3 linked regions of the Mus musculus genome follow. The protein of the gene in region 1 interacts with the protein of each later gene in a biochemical or structural test. Links are inferred from orthologs where the notes say so. Each region holds a gene or a part of one and is shown in the gene's direction. Other genes may lie near its edges.

The links. The genes of interacting proteins can lie anywhere in the genome.
Region 2: of the proteins of Serpinf2 (region 1) and Elane, one has a biochemical effect on the other in vitro, tested with the Homo sapiens proteins (2 studies listed by BioGRID). The link is inferred for Mus musculus from reciprocal best matches to the Homo sapiens genes SERPINF2 and ELANE.
Region 3: the proteins of Serpinf2 (region 1) and Plg form a complex in vitro, tested with the Homo sapiens proteins (2 studies listed by BioGRID, with this or other methods). The link is inferred for Mus musculus from reciprocal best matches to the Homo sapiens genes SERPINF2 and PLG.

The regions. Positions count from the first base shown.
Region 1 is NC_000077.6:75,435,502-75,441,286, reverse strand, and holds the start of Serpinf2 (alpha-2-antiplasmin precursor), read left to right. Parts: upstream 1-1,785; 5' UTR 1,786-1,830; intron 1,831-1,896; exon of another isoform or gene 1,897-2,094; intron 2,095-2,828; 5' UTR 2,829-2,832; coding exon 2,833-2,895; intron 2,896-3,034; coding exon 3,035-3,073; intron 3,074-3,119; exon of another isoform or gene 3,120-3,186; coding exon 3,187-3,249; intron 3,250-3,731; coding exon 3,732-3,933; intron 3,934-4,416; coding exon 4,417-4,560; intron 4,561-4,698; coding exon 4,699-4,902; intron 4,903-5,246; coding exon 5,247-5,389; intron 5,390-5,785.
Region 2 is NC_000076.6:79,883,843-79,889,291, forward strand, and holds Elane (neutrophil elastase precursor), read left to right. Parts: upstream 1-2,469; 5' UTR 2,470-2,492; coding exon 2,493-2,556; intron 2,557-2,871; coding exon 2,872-3,028; intron 3,029-3,140; coding exon 3,141-3,282; intron 3,283-3,723; coding exon 3,724-3,957; intron 3,958-4,074; coding exon 4,075-4,275; 3' UTR 4,276-4,374; downstream 4,375-5,449. UniProt on the Homo sapiens protein: Serine protease that modifies the functions of natural killer cells, monocytes and granulocytes. Inhibits C5a-dependent neutrophil enzyme release and chemotaxis. Promotes cleavage of GSDMB, thereby inhibiting pyroptosis. Promotes blood coagulation.
Region 3 is NC_000083.6:12,376,294-12,381,983, forward strand, and holds the start of Plg (plasminogen precursor), read left to right. Parts: upstream 1-2,315; 5' UTR 2,316-2,374; coding exon 2,375-2,423; intron 2,424-5,690. UniProt on the Homo sapiens protein: Plasmin dissolves the fibrin of blood clots and acts as a proteolytic factor in a variety of other processes including embryonic development, tissue remodeling, tumor invasion, and inflammation. In ovulation, weakens the walls of the Graafian follicle.

The DNA.
Region 1 (5,785 bases):
TCTTCAGTATGGGACCAGAAAAAAGGGGATGTGAGAACAGGGCTAGGGAAGGGGTTATATGGGCCCAGCTGGTCCAGGAATGAATCCATGCCTTGCCTTGGTACCCCTAACCACAGCGTTTGTGCCTTCAGCCGGGGAGGCAGCCCTTGGGACCAGCATCCCTAGGGACAGGAGGCAGCGGGAATCATCTCTGTATCTCGGGTTCTGCCCAGGGGATGGGCAGACTCTGCCATCTCTTGAGTGTTCGTTTGGAGAAGCCTGAGATGTGGCCCCTGCTGCCTTCTCACTAGTTGCAGTCTATGTAAATAAGGTCAATAAATTCTTTGGAAGAGCCACGGAGCTGAGTGAGGCTGTGTTGTGTTTTGCTTTGCCTAGGCTGGGCTCAGGCAGCTCTGCCTCAGCCTCCCAAGGAGCTGGGGAACTGGTATATGTCACTGTATATGTCACTGTGCCTGGCTTATGGCTTGGCTTGGCTTTTTTTCAGATGGTCTCAAGTGCCTCAGGTTGGCCTTGATCTTGGGATGACCTTCCTGCTTGAAACAGAGTAGTGGGCTTATAGGCATGACCCACCAGGTCCAATTTTTATTTTTTAAAGGCATTGATTTTTATACGTGTATGGTTGTTTTGCCCACTTGTACATATGCACACCATACTTGTGTCTGGTCCCTGCGGAGGTCAGAAGAGGGCATCGGGATCACCTGGAACCGAAGTTAATGAATGGTTATGAGCCACATCTCGATGCTGAAGATTGAACCTGGATCCTTTGCAAGAGCAGCCAGTGTTCTTACCCACTGAGCCATCTCTAAGCCCCACACCCAGCTTCTTTTGATACAAGGTCTGGTAGCTCAAACTTGATATGCAGCCGAGGAGGTTGACCTGGTATTCCCTACCTACCCTCTTCTCTCTACCTTCCAAGTGCTGATATTATACATAGGCATGGATAGTCATGCCCACCAGTTTGCCTTGATGGCACCAGAGTCAGGAAAGTCCAAACCTGGTAGTTGCAAACACAGCAAGAGGGTAGAGGCAGCCATTGTCCTCTGGCTGCCTTGGATACAGAGCTTCTGGGTTGGGTGGCCTTGGGTCAGTTTTCCGAATGGTTCACCCTTGGGGAAAGGGAACACTGCTGAAGAGGTGGGACCCTGGGAGGGCCGGCCTCCAGCTGGGTCTCTCCAGCCCTCGCCTTGGAACCTAGGCTGGAGGGAGCCAACCAGGATCCTGGACTTGCTACAGTTAGGTGAACAGGCTCCTGCAGCCTCCCCTTCCCTTGGGTAGCTGTGGTGGTGGTGGTGGTGGTGGTGGTGGTGGTGGTGGTGGTGGTGGTGGTGGTGGTAGTGGTGGTGGTGGTGGTGGTGGTGGTGGTGGTGGTGGTGGTGGTGGTAGTGGTGGTGGTGGTGGTGGTGGTGGTGGTGGTGGTGGTGGGACTTTGGCTGTGACTCTGGAGCCCACTCTGCGCCCTTACACAGGCCACACAGCCTCTCTGAGCCTCACTGACTGTGGATAATCCCCTATGTTGAGGGATCATTAGAAGGCTTGCCAGGCCCAACCTCCTCACTTATCTGCTCCTGTAAACCCCTTCTCCAGGCTCAGGCAGGGTTCTGGGTAGCCTTGATGGGAAAGGGTCTTCTGGCCCCCATATCAATGTTTAACCGGATGTACAGGTCAATATTTACCAGCACTGAACACAAGCTGAACGGGGGTTGGCTGAGAGCAAAGGTCCTGTGGGAGGAGAGAGCTAGGCCCTGCTGGCTGCACTGGGGGAGCGTGGGGAGCAAGCTGGTCCAGGAGAACACCGTGTGCTGCGTGTGCTGCGCTAAGAAGCCTGAAGAGGTAGGATGGAGGGGTGGTGCAGCCTGCTGCTTGGGCAGCAGAGGAAGTAGACAGCTGGCACCTTGGCAAGGGGTCTGGATGAATTTATTCAGGGAGCCTGCAGCTTCACAGCGTCCTGGGGTGGTGAGGAGCAGAGGTCCAGGCAGCTCCAGGAGAAACCTCTAGAACTCCAAAACCTGGAGGCCTACTCTTGGCGAGAAAAATCATATATCCAGATTGGAGATGAGGCCCTGGCTGAAGGTTCTTGAACACAGTTGTGGAGGTCTAGGGATAACAGAAGGACCTTTTAGAAGAGCTGGTGCCTGAAATAAGGCCTGGGTAGGGGGCTGAGGATGGAAAGGAAGGCTCTCTAGGCTGAGAGCCTCCCCCCTTCCGCCAGCTGGGCTTCCCCGAAGCACCCTGGATCAGAACTTGGAGCAGAAGTGGGATGAGGCTTGTAGTTCCCGTAAGTCCAAAGGTGTCTGGGCCAGTCATTCATTGGTCAACAAAGAAGTTTCTGGCTGCCCTGCCAGCCCAGATTAGCTCTCAGAGCCTTTGGGTAGGACCAGGGCAGCCTGAGAAAGGCTGGATGAAATGAACAACAGGTCAGGTGGCTTTGCTAGGGTGGGGGCCAGGCATCATGCTCAGTATTTACAGAGATTCTTATTTGGGTCCTCAACATCTACATGGGAGCAGGAAGAACTTCTGCCATGAATTACCAAGACAGGGTAAAGCCAAAGGCATGAAGGGAGATGCGCAAGGTCCTCTTGCAAGATGAGGGCTTTAAATTTGAACCCAGGACTGATCCACAGTGTAAGACGAAAAGAATGAAGACTAAATGTACAGGTGAAAAAAAAAGCTTATGGAAATCCCACCTCTCAGAGTGAGTGAGGTCCACAGCTGCTATGTTTTGAGTCCAGGTTCCGCAGCCTGGTGCGGTCAAGGAACCCATGGATAGCAGTCTACTGCTTGGCCTTCGAGCGTGAGGTAGGAACTAACACTCCCTGTTCTGGATACAGGAACATGGCACTGCTCCGGGGGCTCCTCGTACTCAGCTTGTCCTGCCTGCAAGGTCCCTGTTTCACGGTGAGGCAGAGCTGAGGTCTGAGTGGGAAGTGGTCAGTCAGGCTGAAGGAGATGCTGGGGGGCGGGGGCAAATCTGGGAGAGGCCAGAAGGGTGGAGAGGGAGGAACGCTGAGTTCTCTGTTCTCCCTTTTCTCAACAGTTCTCTCCGGTGAGCGCCGTGGATCTCCCGGGCCAGCAGGTACTCAAAAGTGAGAGGTTTAGGGGGAAGAGCCAAAGGGACTCACCTATGTCTTGGCAAGATGGGGACCCATGGGAAGGGCCTTTTCTTCATCTCCTTTCTCATTTCTACAGCCAGTGAGTGAGCAGGCCCAGCAGAAGCTGCCCCTGCCTGCCCTCTTCAAGTTGGACAACCAGGTACAATCAGGTGGGGCTGGGGAAGAATGGGTGGGGCCAGAGGGAAGAGGAGGACCGGATCAGTGGAAGCAAGGGAATGGGGGTGGGGGAGTCAGTAGTTATGGGGCTGATGTTCAGGGGTTCGGAAGGGGTGGGGTAGGAAGGACTTCAGCATGACTCTCCTCAGATCTGGGACAAGGCCTTTGCTGCCCTGTCGCATCAGGACTGAGAGGGGGCTGGAGAGATGGCTCAGTGGTTAAGAGCACCGACTGCTCTTCCGAAGGTCCTGAGTTCAAATCCCAGCAACCACATGGTGGCTCACAACCATCCGTAACGAAATCTGATGCCCTCTTCTGGAGCTGTCTGAAGACAGCTACAGTGTACTTACATATAATAAATAAATAAATCTTAAAAAAAAAAAAAAAAAAAAAAAGGACCGTGAGGGACACAGAGAACCTAGAGCTGTTCCCTTGACCTCACTGACTTCTGATCTGTCCTTGTAGGATTTTGGTGACCATGCTACCCTCAAGAGGTCCCCAGGACACTGCAAGAGTGTCCCAACTGCAGAGGAGACTCGCAGGCTGGCTCAGGCCATGATGGCTTTTACTACTGACCTGTTCTCTTTGGTGGCCCAAACATCTACCAGCTCCAACCTTGTCCTGTCACCCCTTAGTGTGGCCCTAGCACTCTCTCACCTGGCACTAGGTACTGGGGTCACACCTGTCCAGAAGAACTAGGAGACCACAGAGGGTTCAGTTGCTGCAGAGGTTGTCCAGGGGCAGTTCCTCCATCAGGGACACATGGCTATTTGGTAGAATGCAGGTCCCTGAGCTGTCACCACCCTCTATGAGTCAGAAGTCCGGGGCTAAGAGTGTAGTGATTGACAAGTCCCCCTAGTTATTTTAGCACAGGAATTTAATGGCTACAATATCTTCCAGTGGACATGAGTGTCTCACTGTGGGAGACACTGCTGCTCAGAGAGGAAAGGAACCTTGAGGGAGGTGACACTGCCCAGCTTGTTAGCTGCAGAGATGAATCTGGGGACCCTATGGCTCCGTGGATCTGGGAGAGGAGCAGAGTAGTGTGATCTGTGGCCATGTTCATCATGGGGATGCCAGAGGGTGGGAGTGGGCAGTGGGGCCAGAAAGAACCCGTGGCCTGGGCATCAGCCTGCTTGGTCCCCTTCAGGTGCTCAGAACCAAACACTACACAGCTTGCATCGAGTGTTGCACATGAACACAGGATCCTGCCTCCCGCATCTACTGAGCCATTTCTACCAGAACCTAGGCCCAGGGACAATCCGACTGGCTGCCAGAATATACCTGCAGAAAGGTAGGTGCTGGTGGTAGCAAGCTGCACAGAAAGAGCCCTGCCTCTAGTGCACAAGGGTGAGGGAGAGGGGCTTGGCTTCGGGTAGCACACTGGTGGATGTGGAGGCCCTGGGATGAGCTTGTGGCTCATTGCGTGCAGGATTTCCCATCAAAGACGATTTCCTGGAGCAATCGGAAAGGCTCTTTGGTGCGAAGCCCGTGAAACTGACTGGAAAGCAGGAGGAAGACCTGGCGAACATCAACCAATGGGTGAAGGAGGCCACAGAGGGGAAGATTGAGGATTTCCTCTCTGAGCTGCCGGATAGCACCGTGCTGCTTCTCCTCAACGCCATCCACTTTCACGGTGCACTGTTCTTCTTAAGCCGCTCACCCCCGCAGCCCCGCCCACCCTGCCATTGCAAGCTTTGCTCTGAGGTTGCTAGGCCATGAAACTGGGGATTGTCTGATCACATGAAGGGGAAACTCAAGCTGCAGAGGCCAGGCTGCTTTGAGAGAAAACCGGGGCTACAGAGGGATGGAGAAATGCAAATCCAAGTGTAGGGAAGGTGCCTAAGACCAGCTAGATGTCAACCGGCCAGCGCCTCTGGGAGCGTGGCTTCTAATCCTTGTTCCTGGAATAGGTTCTAGGCAAGACAGGCAGGAGGCTGATTTTATGTTACATGGCTCCTGCCCTCTGCCTGGCTGCAGGTTTCTGGAGGACCAAGTTTGACCCGAGCCTCACCCAGAAAGATTTCTTCCACCTGGATGAGCGGTTCACAGTGTCGGTGGACATGATGCACGCGGTGTCATATCCTCTTCGATGGTTCCTGCTGGAGCAACCTGAGATACAGGTCAGTCTGGACTTTGCCTTTGGCTGGCAAACGAGGCCTGGTACTGGGAGGTAAAGTCTGGTCCCTGGGTAGGTAGCTCCTGAAGGGTTTATTATGCTGTGTCTATCCAGGACACAGCTTCTTTGAGGTTCATCTCCTCAAAGAAAATATATTGAGTTTTTGTCACGTGCCAGGTAACTGTTCTCTGTGCTGGGGTTTTAGCGGAGCCCAAGAGGACCAGGGCCCTGCTCGTAAGGGAAGAGAGGAGTTCCCACACAGTGCTTCATAGATGGAAGTCGGGTTTCAAAGCTTATTGCTCTGAACATTCTGATTGGATGAAGCTCCGTGCCAAGCTGTCTCAGCTAAGGCTTCCCTTGCTTCTAGCCTAACCGTGACTCCTTGGCTAGAGTACTGATC
Region 2 (5,449 bases), on another chromosome or scaffold:
CACCAGGTGGCGCTGTGCTTATTCCGACAGGCTGGAGTCCACAGGCGTATTCCTTCTCTAACCTTGTTTTGGTTTTGGGAGACAGGCTCATGTAAGCCCAGGCTAGCCTCTAACCTCCTGCGCAGCTGAAGAAGACCATGAGCCCCGGATCCTCCTGTCTCCGCCTCCCGAGTGCTGGGATGGCTTGTGTGCCATTGCTCCTGGTTTATGTAGTGCTGAGGCTGAGCCCAAAGCTTGGTACACACATGGCAAGCAGGCTGCTACTGAACCCCAGACCCCATGAGGGGTGGGTTCCCACGTCTCATCTATCGCTGTGTCGGGATTTTTTTTGTAGAGCCTCTGAGGGTCTGGGGACACTAAGCAGAGGTCAAGGAAGAACTTCACTTATAGAGGGGTTCTGGGCCTAAAGTTCCACAGCAGGGGACTGGAAATATAAGCCTAAAGGCACACTAACCGTACACAGACAGGATGGGTGAGCATAGTATACAGCTGGTGCTCAGTAAGTGCAGCTGTGGTTAAGTCTAATCTGACATGTAGCTTTGTTTGCCCTGTACCTCTCTCTCTCCATGTGACATGGGTGGTGTATAAAGTAGGTGCTCACTGTGTGGGAGGAAGGGAAACCAGTTAGTATGTGTCCGAGGGAGACAGGGAGACAGGGCAGATACTGAGTGCCCAGTTTGCTGGGTAAGGAGGGCACTGCTCCTCTTGGGATCCTAAGGATAGAGGAGTCCAGCATGGCTGGTGTTGGGCCCTGGCATCCTGCCCACCTGCTCAAGTCAGTTGGATTTCACCCAGCCCCGTGCCCCATGCCCCGTCCTGGAGATGGGACGTTGGTTTTGCAACAGCCTTGGCTGTGGCTCCTGGGAGAGACAGGAGGGGGAGCTTACCACAGAGTGGGGGCTGGGCCCCAGGTCCTGTTTCTATTATGGGAGAAGAGTACACCCCTTGTGTGGTTCCAGATTGTGCTGGTGGATCAACAAGCCAATTCCAGTATTTTAAAAGATTCATCCTTGTTCTTCTGTTACTCTAGAACCACTCCTGGTACCAACTTCTGTATTAGTCAGGGTTCTCTAGAGTCACAGAACTTATGGATAGTCTCTAGATAGTAAAGGAATTTATTGATGACTTACAGTCGGCAGCCCAATTCCCAACAATGGTTCAGTCGCAGCTGTGAATGGAAGTCCAAGGATCTAGCAGTTACTCAGTCTCACACAGCAACCACACTCAGGCAACTGCTGAGGACAGCACTTCCTTCTCATGGGTGCCAGGCTTGGATAAGGTCAGGCAGGACCGTGTGTCATGAGGAGCAAGCCATAAATTAGGGGCTGAGCTGGCTGCCATGTGCTGTCTAGTCCTGAACCCCAGGTTAAAAAGACCCACTGTCCTGGGAATAGATGTTCACACCCTTAGTCCCAGCACTGAGGAGGCAGAGGCAGGTGGATCTCTGTGAGTTCCAGGCAAGTCTGGCTACACACACACTCATGCACACATATATTCACACACACATGCACACACACAGAAACTCTTTTATAGGTATGTGTTGCTGTTATTACTATACCTGAGGTAAACTGAGGCAGAGAGATTGGCCTTCAGATATAAGTTGTAGATTAGGGCACCAAGTGGGCACGGAGGTGCTCACCATCATCCCAGCACTCACGAGGTGGAAGCAGGGGGATTAAGGGTTTGAGACTAGCCTGGGCTACGTGAGATTTTGTTTGTTTGTTTATATATTTATTTACTTATTTAATTTTGAGATAGGGTTTCTTTGTCTAGCCCTGGTTATCCTGGAACTAGATCTGTAGACCAGGCTGGCCTCAAACTCACAGAGCTCCACCTGCCTCTGCCTCTGCCTCGCTGGTACTGATTTTAAAGGTACATGCCACCACTACCTGGCCCTAAGTTTTTTTTGTTTTTTGTTTTTTTTTTGTTTTTTTGTTTTTGTTTTTCAAGACAGGGTTTCTCTGTATAGCCTTGGCCTGGAACTCACTTTGTAGACCAGGCTGGCCTCGAACTCAGAAATCTGCCTGCCTCTGCCTCCCGAGTGCTGGGATTAAAGGTGTGCGCTACCAAGCCCGGCTCTTTTTTTTTTTTTTTTTTTTTTTTTTTGAGATCCCATTTTTAAAAAAAAGAAAAGAAGGAGGCAGAGGCAGGTGGATTTCTGAGTTCGAGGCCAGCCTGATCTACAAAGTGAGTTTCAGGGCAGCCAGGGCTATACAGAGAAACCCTGTCTCGAAAAACCAAAAAGAAAAAAACCAAAAAAAAAAAAAAAAAGAAGATGGATGTCTGCTGAGTTTTCATTGGTATTCAGCAGCATGGATGATGCTGACATGGAGACCCTGAGGGGCACACATCTCTCCATGACACCCCCACTGTCGTGTCCCAGGGAGGAAGTAGGGCTGTGGCCAGGATGGGGCAATACAACGGCCTCTGGTTCCAGCTATAAGTATGGCTGTTAGGTAGGGATGTGGGGAGCCGCGAGAACACAGCCCACCATGGCCCTTGGCAGACTATCCAGCCGGACTCTGGCTGCCATGCTACTGGCATTGTTCCTGGGTGGTGAGTGCAAACAGACACATGTCCACCCTTCTGACCTCTGGTCCATCTCTTTCATCTACTTGCACATCTGCCAGGACCCCAGGAAAAGATGTGAAGGTTTATAATGGCAAAGCCACGATCAGGAAACTGGGTTTCTAAGGAAACTGGGGTTCTAAGCCTGAGGGTGGTTACTGTGAAGGCACTGGGTCTCAAGTCTAAGGGCAACCTGGGCTAGGTCCCTTGTCTTTTCTCTGCCTCAGTTTCCCTAGCCAGCCTTGTGAGTTCTCACTGAGGGCCCCAGCAGCTCAGGGCTCACTCTTCTTTGTGTGTTCTCAGGCCCAGCACTGGCCTCAGAGATTGTTGGTGGCCGGCCGGCCCGGCCCCATGCTTGGCCCTTCATGGCATCCCTGCAGAGGCGTGGAGGTCATTTCTGTGGTGCCACCCTCATTGCCAGGAACTTCGTCATGTCAGCAGCCCACTGTGTGAACGGCCTGTGAGTCCCCTTCCTTCCCCTCTTAGCCCTCAATGTCCATGCGGGTCAGACTGGGGTCAAGAGGTCAGGTGGGCATTCCCAATAATTCTCCTTCCCTCTCCATTGCCCTTAGAAATTTCCGGTCAGTGCAGGTAGTGCTGGGAGCCCATGACCTGCGGCGACAGGAGCGCACTCGACAGACCTTCTCTGTGCAGCGGATCTTCGAGAATGGCTTTGACCCATCACAACTGCTGAACGACATTGTGATTATCCAGGTGGGCCTGCCAGTTCAGGAACCTGAGCCTCGTGCAAAGGTCCCGAGGTCAGCTTAGGGAGAGTGCACTGCAGAACAGGCTGCAGGACAGGTACACACTGGGTCAACTGCAGTCATCACCCTCTGAGCCTGTTTCCAGCTCAGCACAGTGGAGAATTAACTATTCTGTGGGCTGAATGTTGAAGGCTTAAATGAGATAATATACAGAAAGCTCTGAGCAGTATTCAACCAACAAACTCTTATTTGTGCCTTTCCACACACTGACCCTGAAGCTTGGGGAACTCTTGGAAAATACTCACGTCTTCCTCTAGTTCTTAAATTTTTTCACCACTTGATGGTCAGGTACTAAGGAAAGTGGGGAGGGTTCTTATAAACTGTGCTCTGTGACTTCTTGGTGTTCTATGCCTCCCCCCCCCCCCCCCCCCCGTGTCTTCCACTGTAGCTCAATGGCTCCGCTACCATTAACGCCAACGTGCAGGTGGCCCAGCTGCCTGCCCAGGGCCAGGGCGTGGGTGACAGAACTCCATGTCTGGCCATGGGCTGGGGCAGGTTGGGCACAAACAGACCATCACCCAGTGTGCTACAAGAGCTCAATGTGACAGTGGTGACTAACATGTGCCGCCGTCGTGTGAACGTATGCACTCTGGTGCCACGTCGGCAGGCAGGCATCTGCTTCGTAAGTACCCTCTGCAGCAGCAGGGATAGTAGTCGGACCCCAGGGAGGACTTCCCAGTGCTGGAGCATGGGTAGGGGATGACTAGAGATCCAGCCTCTGACATGGACGCCTCCACAGGGGGACTCTGGCGGACCCTTGGTCTGTAACAACCTTGTCCAAGGCATTGACTCCTTCATCCGAGGAGGCTGTGGATCTGGATTGTACCCAGATGCCTTCGCCCCTGTGGCTGAGTTTGCAGATTGGATCAATTCCATTATCCGAAGCCATAATGACCACCTTCTTACCCATCCCAAAGACCGAGAGGGCAGGACCAACTAGGACCTGTCTGCACTCCCACCCCGCTCCCCTTGCTCCCTTGCTCCCCCCTCTACCAGAGACCTCTCCATTTTACTACAATAAAAGCAGCCTTTGTTTTGTACACTGGGTCTGATGTCTGCTGCTTCAGGATGTAGAACACAGCCAATGCCTCGTATACGGTTCACCTCCTGGAGACGCTGCAGCCAAGCTGGGGCAAAGGTGTGGCAGGAGTCACGTCCCCCACTTTGTACAAAAGAATGTCCGTCAGACAGGTCTTTTGGTTTCTGTTCCTAAATCCCATGTTCAGCTAGGTCTCAGCATTTAGGAGGTTGAAAAAGGAGGATTACCAAGAGTCTGAGGACAGCTTGGCCTACAGAGTGAGAAAAATAGAGGGTTGGAGAGATGCTTAGCAGTTAGGAGTGTCTGCTGCTCTCATAGGGGACCTGGACTCCCATATGGTGGCTCACTATTGCCTATAGGCCCAGTTCCAGGGGACTGGATGCCCTCCTTTGGACTCTGTGGGCACCAGGCACATATATACACCTTCTACACATAATTAAGAAAAGTGAGCTTTTCTGCGCTCTCGCTGGACCAGTGAGCAGGGACGGCCTCAGGATGCAGAACGACGCCGGCGAGTTTGTGGACCTGTCCGTGCCTCGGAAATGCTCCGCATGCAACCTCATCATTGCTGCCAAGGACCACGCGTCCATCCAGATGAACGTGGCCGAGGTTGATAGGACCACAGGCCGGTTTAATGGCCAGTTTAAAACTTACGGCATCTGCGGGGGGTCATTTGCAGGATGGGCGAGTCAGATGATTCTATTCTCTGATTGGCTAAGGCTGATAGAATTGTCTCAAAGAACTTTTGAGCAGAAGAAATCGGGAATTTGTTACAAATAAAAGTTTTAAGTACCTGTGGGGGGGGGGGAAGAAAAGTGAAGATAACCTGATAAATAAGCTAGGACTGGTGAAGTGGCTTACCAGGTGAGCATGCTAGCCATGAAGGTGAAGGAGACAATGGATTTCAGCGAGCCCTCTGCACACTTACCCACACAGTACATAAATAAAATAAATACAGCATATAGATAAATAATAAAAATAATAAATAATAAAATAGCCAAGCAGTGGTGATGCACACCTTTAATCCCAGCACTTGGGAGGCAGAGGCAGGCAGATCTCTGAGTTCGAGGCCAGC
Region 3 (5,690 bases), on another chromosome or scaffold:
CAAAGCCATCATGTATCTGGTGAAATCTGGTTTTATTTTCCCCAAAGTCTTTTGGAAGGAAAAAAAAAACTGCTTGTTACTGACTTTTTGTATTGCTTCTAATTTATTAAACTGGGCTGGCGGGTTCAAAAAAGGGGAGGTAAGGCCAGTGGTGGGTATGAGGAGAGGAGAAGGCTGGCTGACAAAATATCAGGGTGTGCTCACACTCAGGTGCCCCCATCTGTCTGCTGTGTGGGGCACTCCTGGAGAGACATGACCGTTGTCAATTCATTCCCACAGGGCACACATCACAGGCCAAGGAAACTAATTCCAACTGAATCTAGCTGGGAGAACCAACTACCAAAGGTTGCCTCCTCACAGGAACTCCCCTGACACTCTCACCCCAGGTGCAGGCGGCTCTACCGAGGCTCTACCGAGGAGAATCTCCCATGCTAGTTCTCTGCTCCTGTAGAACAGAGGGAGGGCCTGGTGCAGCTCGAAGTTGACTGAGCCCCATACATTTGTCAGCTTCCTGAGTCTCACAGACCTCCTGGCTTCCTCAAGGAGGAGCGATGCCTAGCACCGTGACATGCTGCCTACCTCTCCCCTCCCTCTCCTTGCTTGTCTTCCTGGTTTTCCTGCATGGGCTTTATTCTCATGGGATTCTATACAAGCTTCTACCTGAGACATCCTGGCACCTGATCCTGTAACTAGTTGTCATGGGAAGGAGTTTGTAGCCAGGGAAGAACAGCGGCTGCTTTGTCTTTATCCCACACCAACAGAGAGGAGTCCATTTCTAAATATTTTCAAATATAAAATGGGAGGCTTTAAAGCATTTGAGCCTCCAGCCAAGAAAAAGTTCAGACTCTACCATTAAAGTTGAGATGATTGGTAGAGAGAGACATGCACCTGTATGTAGTCTTAGCACTCAGACAGCAGAGACAGGAGGATCACTGTGAGTTCCAGGCTAGCCCAGGCTACAGTAGGAGACTATGTCAAAGCAACAAGAACAAATAAACAAAAAGATAGTCTTTCAGCTGAATCCCTCCACTTTTGAGGGTATTACCATGATACTGCGAGTTCTTATGGAGGAGAGATCCACACTGGAGGGGATATTAAGAAAGGACTGGGAAGCGGAAGGTATATATATATATATATATATACACACACACACATATATATGTATATATACACACACATATATTATGAATACATATACACACATATACATATATGCATAAATACATATATATGCATATGCATACATATATATAATGCAGATATACATTCATATATATACACATACACATACCTATATGTGTATATGTACAAGTATACACACATATATACCTACATACACATACATATGTATATATCTATATATACACATACATATGTATATACTTATATATACACATACGTACATACATACACACACACATGTGTGTGTGTGTGTCCTCAAAGGCCAGAAGAGGACATTAGATCTCCTGGAGCTGGTGTTATGAGTGACTGTGAGCTGTCTGATGTGGGTGCTGGAACTTGAATTCTGGAGCAGCAGTAAGTGCTTCACTTACCACTGAGTTCTTTTTCCAACTCACAAACGGATTTCAACACTGCACAGTAGGCTAGTGGTGCTTCTCCATGGTTTGGCCCTTGCCCGGCAATGCCGAGTCTCACTATACAGGTGGGTCAAGGGCTAAAACACACCAGGACAGAAGTTATGTACTGCTTAAGTTTGAAAGCGGCGTGAATATGACGGTGTTGTAAAAATGATATGACTTAGTCAAACTGCTTAGTCAACATCAGGGCTGGGAGAGAGCTGAGGGGTCACCAAAGCCAAACCAAACCAAAACCAACCGCTACTCGCAACATAACGGATGAAAAACAAGCTCATACAGCTTACGCAATACACACACTGAGACATCATGTGTTACCCCAGGCCCCTCTTCTGAAAATGGGAACAGGGTACAGCCGATTGCCAGTAAGGTCAAACGAGGCTGAGTATGGACCACTTGGCAGAATCTGGCATATGGGAGGCACTCAGCAAAGGAAGAAGAGAGAAAGAAATGAGAGGAGACTGGCAACATGGTGGCTTGGGAGGAGGGAGGAGGGAGGAAGTAAGAGGGAAGAGGGAGGACGGAGAGGTGTAACAGGGTGTAGGGGTCCAATGGGGAAGGCCACTGCCATCACTTCCAGCATCTACCACAGGCTCTGCTCAAACATTTTGTAAGCTCCCTGTTCGAGGTAATGTTTGCTCTTTCTGCATACAGTGGTGGGGGCCCCAGAGAATAATTAACCTATTTGGACTACCTTGCTTGTGGATGCCTCTGTTCCCCTTTAAGTCAACACCAGGAACTAGGACACAGTTGTCCAGGTGCTGTTGGCCAGTCCCAACATGGACCATAAGGAAGTAATCCTTCTGTTTCTCTTGCTTCTGAAACCAGGTAAGATTTTGATGCACAGGTTTCGTTCCGCTTTTTAAAAATTCTAGCCATCCATTAAAAATAGATTCGCTGTGTCTTTTTGGGCAATTCATTTAAATGAGCTATTGGCTTATGGGACTTTCAGCTTAAAGTGTCAGACTGAGGAGTTCGACATATAAATTCAGTTTCCCTGTGAATACTGCTTGGGTAGGGATGGACAGGCAGAGCAAGCCACCAGTGGCTTTGTAAACCTAATTGAAGGGGGATTTTGGAGGGGTCTGACTAAAGGGCAATGTGGCTCAGTGGTAGAGCACTTGGCTAGCATATTTGAGGTTCTGGGTTCAGTTCCTGGTGGTGGTAGTTAGTGGGCTTAGATGGTCTACCTCTTTGCCTTGTTTTCAGTGTGACTGATTAGAAACTTTTGTTGAGCCATCCTGTTTCCATTGGGATCTTCTGTTTGGCTGAAGGAAGGCTTTGCATGGGTACACATCTGCCTCTGATGCTTCCGTGAGTCACATAGGTCCATTTTAAAGTGTCATGTATTTGCAGTAATTAAACAAATACCTATTTAGAGGTCAGGGTTCCTACACACATTGTGTGTGTGTGTGTGTGTGTGTGTGTGTGTGTGTGTGTGTGTGTGTAGAAACTAGCACTGGGGACACTATAAGCTTAGGGGTCACTCCGAACCAGATTCTCTGCAGTAGGATCAACATGTATCTCTGCCAATTGAGGGGCATTCCTTCATAAGGTCTTTGTCAAAGTACTTGTCATTATCTACAGAAATGGCTTGACTTTCATTTCCTATTGCACAGAAATAGCCTGGGAGAGGATAAAAACGCTTCTTCCACAACTGTGAACAAACTATTGATTTTTTTTTGAGATAAAGTCATATTATATAGTCCTGACCAGACTGAAACTTGCTATGTAGACCAGGCTAGCCTTTAACTCTCAGAAGCCCACTTCTGCTTCCCAAGTGCTAGGATAAAAAGTGTCATCCATCAAGCTCAGCAGAGATTTAATTTTGCACACTCAAGTACACACACACACACACACACACACACACACACACACACACACCATAGTAATGAAAAAAGCCTCTTTGCTTTGATGGTAATACCCATCTATATTTAGTCTGTTACAAAGAAATAATTTTCCTACTAAAAGATTTGTTTCAAGTCTCCTTATCAATATACTATATTAAACTTTATTTTCTACAAGAGCCCTGGAGGTAAACAGAAGAGATAAAGATTTGGAGAAAAAATTCAAATACAAAAGAAAAGATTCGGTTCCTCTTGGGGACATGTCTTTGGAGTGGCAGCTCCTTGGGTGGATCTCAGCGGCTGTCCACCAATAAACATGACACAAAGCTGATGGTCCAAACAGGAGGGCTCTCTCCTCTCCATCGTCATCCGAGACCTTCCTTGGCACACTCCCCGAGAACTCTTAGCACAGGTTAGCCCAACTCTGCCTAGACACGCTGTGCAGGATGACTGTATGCCTTCCAAATCACACGCAGCTCCGCAGCTCCCCAAAGCTTGGGTCTTCTCAAGGTGGGCGTTTGAATTGGAATGGAACAGAAGTCTAAAATGTTCCATTTCTCCATAATCTCTTATGCCCACAGCAAGCGCTCTGACAGTGTAAGGGCATTAGCCAACTCCACACTCTCTACCCAGCTTTCCAGTTTGGAGCATTGAGGAGGGATGGAGTCACCAGAGAGGGAGAGGGTAGGCTTTCAAAGATGAGTCTGTGTTTACCTTCTCAAGTGTTCCTGCTTCCGATCCTGGTCACTTGTTAACTTGCTGGATCTGGCTTCGATTTCCCTCTAGAGGTCAAGGTTGCCATGTTGCCTAATTCCATGAAGACTTTTCTATGTTCATTAACCTCTTTGTCCTCTCACCGCTATGGAAATCATGACTATTTACACAAAAGAGTAGTAGCAGGGGTTCAGGCTTGGAACAGAGTTGTCAAGCTTAAGCCAGCATTTTAGCACCTTAGCCCAGGGGACACCTGGCAGCTGGGACCACATTCTATGGGGACAAGAGGGAAAGCAAGCAACTCTGTCTCAGATTGCATCTCACACAAAAATCAAATCATGGTAGCACACATATGTAATTCTGCACTAGGGAGGCTGAAGAAGGAAGATTGCTTGAGTGCCAGACCAGGTAGAAAGATGTTGTCTCAACAACAACAACAACAACAACAACAACAACAACAACAACAACAACAACAACCAACAACAACAGTGAAGCCAGTATTTGTACCAGGCACTACTGTTTTGGTTTTTTTTTTTTTGTTTTTTTGTTTTTTTTTTTGTTTTCGAGACAGGGTTTCTCTGTATAGCCCTGGTTGCCCTGGAACTCACTTTGTAGACCAGGCTGGCCTTGAGTTCAGAAATCCGCCTGCCTCTGCCTCCCGAGTGCTGGAATTAAAGGTGTTCGCCACCACGCCCAGCTTCCAGGCTCTACTTTTTAATAACTTTCTCTGAAATGCCAGATGCTTTCATCATCAAGAAAAAAGTCATATGTCATTGAAAAGCATATATCATTGACAGTCAATCAACAGTATCCCATGCCGTGTTCTCTCCTGGAAGATCAAATGAATAACATCAACCAACCAGACCCCCAGAGCTCCCAGGGACTAAGCCACCAACCAAGGCATACACATGGCTCCAGCTGCATATGCAGCAGAGGACAGCATTGTCAGGCATCAACGGGTGGAGAGGTCCTTGGTCCTATGCCGGCTAGATAGATGCCCCAGTGTAGGGGAATTGAGGGTGGGGAGGCAGGAGTGGTGGGTGGGTAGAGGAACATTCTCATAGAAGCGGGGGGGGGGCAAGGGGGGAGGGAAGAAGTGGGATAGGGGTTTCTGGGAGGAGGGGAAACCAGATAAGGGGGTAATACTTGAAATGTAAATAAATTTAAAAATAAAATGAAAAAAGAAAATCAAGTCGCTGCTCTGGGGCCTCACTGCCTTATCACAGGGCAAGCAATACGAGCAGAGTAATTTACTCTAAAGTTTTGCTCTTATATGGTAATAGAGAGGTGGCTGCATGGGCCTCAGTTACTAATCTGCCAGTCTGGCTGTACTTTCAATCTATTGCAAACTACTGGGACTGCTTATCTGAGTAAGGAGTCCTTCTTTTTCCCCTACCATAAAGCATTCAGCCACACAATAACAGCTAGTGTTCTTTGATTGGTAAAAAGCAAATAAATTAAAAAGCCATGAAATATGCACATGCATGTGCTTATACACACACACACACACACATACACACACACACACACACAC